2 linked regions of the Zea mays genome follow. The protein of the gene in region 1 interacts with the protein of each later gene in a biochemical or structural test. Links are inferred from orthologs where the notes say so. Each region holds a gene or a part of one and is shown on either strand. Other genes may lie near its edges. The genes, in order: protein GRIP and ADP-ribosylation factor 3.

The links.
Region 2: the proteins of protein GRIP (region 1) and ADP-ribosylation factor 3 form a complex in vitro, tested with the Arabidopsis thaliana proteins (2 studies listed by BioGRID). The link is inferred for Zea mays from reciprocal best matches to the Arabidopsis thaliana genes ATGRIP and ARF3.

The regions. Positions count from the first base shown.
Region 1 is NC_050097.1:205,749,835-205,753,661, forward strand, and holds part of protein GRIP, read left to right. Parts: intron 1-386; exon of another isoform or gene 387-390; coding exon of another isoform or gene 391-400; coding exon 401-516; intron 517-806; coding exon 807-976; intron 977-2,817; coding exon 2,818-2,911; intron 2,912-3,827. UniProt on the Arabidopsis thaliana protein: Golgi matrix protein playing a role in tethering of vesicles to Golgi membranes and in maintaining the overall structure of the Golgi apparatus.
Region 2 is NC_050099.1:27,788,225-27,791,953, reverse strand, and holds the end of ADP-ribosylation factor 3, read left to right. Parts: intron 1-2,194; coding exon 2,195-2,325; intron 2,326-2,577; coding exon 2,578-2,611; 3' UTR 2,612-2,912; downstream 2,913-3,729. UniProt on the Arabidopsis thaliana protein: GTP-binding protein involved in protein trafficking; may modulate vesicle budding and uncoating within the Golgi apparatus.

The sequences.
Region 1 (3,827 bases):
GCGCGATAGAGAAGATGGAGCCCTCTGGGCATGTGCAAGGAAAAGATGGTCATGTTCTGTAGTTCATTACAACTCTTCTGCATGTTGATTATTTTCTAAAAGGGTTTAAAACTGAGAAAGTTGTAATTGTAAGATGACTGTGAATACATTATCATTTTGCAGTTTTCTTGTGCTTCGTTCTACCTAGATTTGCCAACGGATAGTGGTACAATGCAATAACTTCTAAAGTGCCATTTAGTTATTGAAGAGGATAAACTTCTGAATTTTATTTTGGATTTGCTGTATCTTAGCTTTATCATATTACACCTTGCTATATCATTTTTATCTGTAACACAACCTAGTTCTTGCTGCTACTTTTTTTGTTTCAGAATCTAATTCATCATTAGTTCCATGCATGTAGCTGAACAAAAAATGGAAAAGGAACTAAAAGAACGCGATGACAAATATCTTGAGCTGGAAACCAAGCTTCAGAGGCTTCTCAAGCGTGCAAAACAACGTATACAAGATATACAAAAGGTAACAAGTAACCAATATTTTGTCTGTCCTATATCCACATTAGCTTGACAATAATAGATCCTTTACTTCACTACCCCAGTATCTCCCTAAATAGGGAAATTTCTGCTGTCCTATGTGCACATTAGCTTGAGCATGAACTAATACAATTTGATTCAACGATTGTTGTGGTGTAATCGACTCTTTGCTGCCTGTTTGTCATGTTTCGTGAATGTCAAATAGCATTGTCATCATATACTGAATTATTGAAACAAGAACATGAACTTTAGTGTTTTTCCCTAACACATTTACAGGAAAAAGTTGATCTGGAAGCTCGGTTTAATGAAGTTAATCAGAAGGCTGAGCAGGCTGCTTCTCTGCAATTAGCAGCACAGCAGGAACTGGAACGTGCTCGTCAGCAGGCTAGTGAGGGCTTAAGATCAATGGATGCTGAAAGACAGCAGTTGCGGACAGTGAACAGCAAGTGAGTGACTTTATTGATCTCATTGTACTATGCATGTGTCATATTTTAACAACAACAACAACAACAACAACAACAAAACCTTTTAGTCTCAAGTAAGTTAGTGTAGGCTAGAGTTGAAATCCAACATAAAACACAAGTCAATGTCTAGTCACATGAATAGCTGTTTTCCGTGTACTCCTATTCAAAGCTACATTTTGGATGTATTCCATTTTTGAGTCTCCTTTTACTGTCTCTTCCTATATCAACTTTGGTCTTTCTCGCTTCTCTTCCCATCGCTATCACGCTTTAGGATCCCACTACACAGTAGTGTTAGGTCTCTGTTGGACATGTTCAAACCATATCAACCAATTGGACAAGCTTTTCTTCAATCGGTGCTATCCCTAAACTATCACATGTATATCATCATTCTGGACTTAATCTCTTCTTGTGTGGCCATAAATCCAACGAAACATACACATTTCCACAACACTTATCTGTTTAACATGTCGTCTTTTTGTAAACCAACATTCTACATCATACAACATAGCAAGTCTAGTCCCCGTCTTATAAAACTTGCCTTTTAGCTTCTGTGGTACCTTTTTTGTCACATAGTTAGCTAGATGCTTGACGCCACTTCGTCCACTATGCTTTGATTCTATGGCTAACATCTTCATCAATATCCCGTTTCTTTGTATCATTGATCTTAAATACCAAAAGATACCCCTCATGGGCACTACTTGGCCTTCCAAACTAACATATTCTTTCTCATGTATAGTAGTATCAAAGTCATATACCATATATTCGATTTTAGTTCTACTAAGTCTAAAACTTTTGTACTCTAATGTCTTCCTCCACAACTCTAGTTTCCTATTTACTAATTACTCTTGCCTGACTTTCATGAACTAGCACTACACCGTCTGCAAAAAGAATACACCTAGGGATATCCCCTTATATGTCCCTTGTGACCTTATCTAAACCAAGAAAAAAGCTAAGGGTCCAAAGCTGACCTTTGATGTAGTCCTATTCTAATCAGGAAGTCATCCATGTCTCCATCACTTGTTTGAACACTAGGAACACTAGTCACGACATCGTTGTAAATGTTTTTAATGTGTCCAACCTCCAACGTACTTCCTTGGAACTTTATGTTTATTCGAAGGCCAATACATAACATTTTTTGGTATTTTAAAGCCTTCTTCAAGTTAATGGAAACAATATGTATGTCCTTCTTCTGCTCCTTATACTGCTCCATCACTTGTCTTGTTAAGAAAATGACTTCTATGATTGACCTTCCGGGCATGAAACCAAATTGGCTTATAGAGATCCTTGTTATTCCTCTCGGATAATGCTCAATAACTCTCCCATAGCTTTGCAATATGACTCATCAACTTAGCTCTCTGGTAATTAGTATAACTTTGAAAATCTCTCTTATTCTTGTAGATGGGTAATGTGATTTTTAACGTTGTGAAATATATCATTAAGCCTTTCATTTCTCTCCTTGCTTGGGGTGAGTGAAACTGAGTGGCATAGTTATATGGAGCCTGACTACGTTGAGCTGCAGCTCCTCCATTATAGTTATAATCCTATATCTCATTGTACAATGCACGCGTCATCTCTTAACATCATGCAATAGCACTAGGTTTTTGTTTCTCTTCTTTCTTTGGGTGGGTGGAACTGTATAGTTATATGAATCCTGACTACGTTTACGTTGAACTTAGCTCCTCCATTATAGTGATAGTCCTATATTTATATCTGTAGGCTGTAGTTTCTCCATTGCTGATGCAATTAGCATCTTCAATATTTCCTGAATCTTACCAAAATGACATGCTAATTTTAACATAATATATAATTCAAACCATGTGTAGGTTGAGGGCTAACCTCGATGAGACACGGCTTGCCTTGGAGGTCAGAAACAGTTCTCTTGAGAAACTGCAACAATCAGTGCTTGAGAAAGAGCAGGTATGTAAAATTGTAAATGCAATGTTTCTTGGCATTTTTTGTTTTTGTTTGGTGATCTTTAATAGTAGAAATGCATGACCTAAAATTAGTTAGTAAGGTGTTGTAGGGCACATGGTTGAATTCTAAAAGTTCTGTTATGGCTTTAAGTACCAAGATCTTCTATCTGGTGCTTATTTGGAGGGAGGAATGGGACATAGCTCCAGCCAGCTAGCATTAGAATGACATTGACTGGGTGAATGCTAGGGGTGAAAACGGGTAGCGTACCCGAAACGGGTACCGGATACGGATACTGATTCGGGACCATTTTTCGGATACGGATACGGGTATTTTTTAGATTCAGGACGGATACGGGTAATACCCGGATAGTATGGCTTCGGATTCGGGTCGGATACGGAGCGAGTACTACCCGGTAAATACCCGGATATTCGGGTCGGATACGGGTACCCGGAATTCGGGTACCCGTTTTTTCTTTTTCTGCAAAATAATATAGTTATAAAATCATAACTTTTACATATGAAATCGGATGAAGATAAAGTTTATATGAAAATTGTAGAGCTCGAAGAGATCTATAACTTTGTAGTACATCACATTTTTGTTTAAATATATCTTTAGGCCAAAATCATTAAAATAATGTCTAAATTTATATCAAAATAATAGACTTTATCATTTTCATGTGGGGACTTAAGATTATATCCATGTGGGAACTTAGGATTATCTTTTTATAAACTATTTATTAATATTGGTAACTTATTTGCAATTTTCGGTCGACGCTACAATATTTTTATGAATTTAATTGTATTTTGATGATTTTCTACAACAAGAAATTAATAATACACCAAATAGCCTAAAAAATTCATGAATTTTTACGGGGACACAACATATATCCACATATAGTTCTCAAAAACATTTGGACTAT
Region 2 (3,729 bases), on another chromosome or scaffold:
TACTATTGCTAAATTTGTCATTTTCCGTGATTATCAGAATTAAACTTCATGTTTATATTTCTTAGCATGTAAGCACATGAATATTGACGTAGGCATCAGCAGTCAGCGCTTCAATGCCTAAAATGTCGATATTTGTACTTTTTTGAACGTAATGGCAGGAGCTCTGCCTCTCAATTAAGAAGAAAGGAATTGACCCAGTTTTAAGGAAAATCGGGCCCAAAACGTACACAGGGTGCACAAGCAACCCAGACAACGGCAGTCCCACACACAAAGACCATCCAGTGTCATTGTTGCCGAGCTCAATACAAAGGGCGAGTAGCTCCGACTCCTCAAGACGGGCAACACAAGGCCAAAGGAGAACCGACGATGATTACACCCAAACACTGGCACGGAAGGAGGAAGACCGCGGTGTGCCGTTGTTGTCGAGCCTCGAGACGTCCCATGCGAGGCAGCTCCGATTCTTCACCAACAAAGACTTCCAAACTTGATCCTCCGCCCCGCCCCGACAAACGCTCAGCCTCTGAAGCAATCTAGCCTACGAAGAAGGGGGGCTCGCCTCACGTCATCGTTGTCGAGCCACATCCCTTGACGTAGTAGCTCCGACTTCACGTTGCAAGACCGCACCTCCACCCGCATACCGGACGCTGAGAAGCGAAAGCAACAGCCGAAAAGTGACGTCGTGGCCGAGACGAACTTCAAAAGCGACGCCTTTAGGAAGGTAGTGACATCGGGGATGCCACCGTCACATGTACGAGATGGACCGGGCTTTCACCCAAGGAAGCCAGTGCTGGGGAGTGCGACGCCCTCAACAGGGGAAGCGACGCCCATGGACATCACCGTCGCCGAGGCTTTCGTCCAAGAAGTCCCCTAGCACAAACATCAAGCCAAGACCCCGGGACAACGCAGGCTACCTCCGCCAACGTCGCTGCCCTGACATCCCGCCCAAACCCTCCCAGAGGGACATCGACATGCTTGCTACCGCAAAGTTGTGTTGGATGCCACCCCCACCGGCCGGGCACACGGAATCGGGCACCACCTTGCGGCGAGTGCCCCACTGCCACAGGCCAGTGTCGCTGCACCCCCTGACGACAACTCGGCGGCCGCGAGCACACAGCCCCTGCAACCTCTCCCCTCCCGAGCCGCCAGGAGCACCGTGCAAGAGGGCCGCAAAATCCTCCCAAAGAGCCAGCCAACCGGCAGGCCGATGGCACTGCCGACCGGCGCTAGCACCGAAGCTCACGCCCTGCCCCGTGACAGCACGTGCCACGGCGCACAGCGGAGCAGCCACGGGTCGTGTAGGACGCGGACACCTGGCGGGCGAGCACGCCACCGCCGAGAGACACGCACACGCCGCCAGCGGGCTAGTCCGCCCCGCCCCTGTCCGCCACCTGCGGCGTCCACGTGGGCGCACAGCACCGCCACGGCCACCAAGACCATGTCCCGAGCGCGGATCCGGGCGCTCGCGACGCCAACAAGCGGATGCCTCGCTGCCACCGTCTTAGGGGTCCGCGCGAGCATCCCGGTCTGCCTAGGGGTGGTAATGGATTGTGATCCAAATAGTTCTTCACAAAATGTCAAGGCCCTAAATAAATTATAGTTCAAAAATGACTAGAAATAAAGCCCGATCCTAACCCGCTTCGATCCTTAAATCTTATAGTGCAAAAATTATAGCCCATTGTCAGCCCTAGGTCTGCCCCTCTGGCAGCGGAGAGAAGGGGAGTGGGGCAGCAGCGTCTAGGGTTTCGCTGCCCGAGTCGACCAGTCGACCACGCGGGGAGCGATGCCGGGGCTGGTTGTTGGAAATGAAACTGGACTGTCGATATTTGTACTTGCCCTGTACTACTTTCAATATGAAGTGTACTGTATTTTTGGTAATATAGTCATCTTTTCCCTGCTACACAAGCTCCCTGCTTTAAGATGGTTCATGGTTGTATATGAAGTGTAGCTATAACATCTGTTTCAAATGTTTGGCTCCTTCAGCATATAGCTTGCACACTCTTGTCAAATTGTTTGATGAGGTTTCTATAGCTGCTATGAGATATGTGTGCAGTTCAGCATGGTGTACTCATTTGCAGAAGACATTTGTTTTAGCTTGTGTGCCTTATGTTACTTGTACCCTGTAGGTTGTAGCTTTGCTGTACTGTACCGTGTTTTTTTTGGCATTTTATCTGACATGTTAGTTGTTTTCATGCAGGATCTTCCAGGTGCACTCGATGATGCTGCCATTACAGAGTCATTAGAACTACACAAAATTAAGAGCCGCCAATGGGCGATTTTCAAAACATCTGCAATAAAGGGAGAGGGGCTCTTCGAAGGTTTGGACTGGTAAGTGGGGTCAAATTTTCATGTCCTAAGCGATGTTTCTGTAAGATAATGACAAGTGGATGAACTTCTTTAATAAACCATTCGTATCATCAGTTAAAATAGTTCTTCCTACATTATCAAGTAGTGGCTGTACTGTCCGTGGATCAAGATGCAGTTCTATGTATTAATTACAAAAAAACACGCCTTTTGCATTTACGTGATGCTCTGGAGACATTATTGGAGGAAGCAACTTATGGTTGGCTATTATTGCAGGCTCAGTAACACGCTCAAATCTGGAAGCAGCTAAGGAGCCTCCGCCTCGTCATGAATCATTTGCTGGATGGTAAAGAATAGCCGATGCTTGCAAGTCAGCGCGCAAATCCCATTCTCTTTGTTTTAACTCCAGAAGTTCTACACCGCCATCAATTATCTGTAAAGTGCGTGTTAAATTTTTTGGATACTACATTAGATGTACCCCCAGGTTGAGATCAAGAATAGGTCTGTGGAAAATGACGAGCAAACTGTGCTACTGTCTTTACCCGTAAATCTCATGGATCATGACAAGTTTTTTTTTGTACCCCAATATGATTAAACTTACTCCACATTTCTATGTTTTCGTATCAGTGATCATTACAGAAACTGCTCTTAAGCACCTTCTGCTACCACTTTTACACTTCATTTAATCTCTGTCACCGCGTTTGCGGCAGAGGGATCATTACAGAAGCCGTCGCAACTCGCAAGACGTTGCGATGCGAGTTTAATCGGACACCTGTGTTTACTCGCTTGTGAAGAACTTTGTGCTGGAATTGATATACAATCATAAAATTATCTTAAGGCTGAGTTTTTTTTTATAAAAAATGTATATATTCCTTGGGGAAAGAGCAGTGTTGCATTTCGGGGGCGGATTGAGCAGCTGTTTTCGTGATTGAATCCTCCTTCCTGTGTCAGGAAAAAGATTTGCCGGTAGGCCCGGGCGTCCACTCCAGGCTGGCCTTAGCACGAACCAGCTCACAGCTCCGCCTGACAAAACGGCCTGCGAATTGACGTCAGCAAGGATGTCACCTGAAAGCAAAGGTTTGCGCTGTACGGCAAGTCACGTGTACATAGAATAGAGATAGACTGTAGTTTGTTTTGTGCACCGCGGACGACTGTTCAACCGTCGTCTCACGTCAGTTGCTCTGTACTCACGACTTGGCCCTGGATGGAACAATCGCTTGCCAAAACGTTCATTTGATAATGAATGTCATCCACAGTAGGACACCTGTTGTGCTGTCAAATCTCCGCGAAAATCCGGGCGTTTGTTTCATTTGTTAAGTTACAACTGAAGCACGTAAATTTCACCACGACTGACCATGCTTCGACGATGGCGAATTGTATCATTGGCAATGGCTAGACCATTTAACCCCCCTCTCGTGTTCTCTCAAA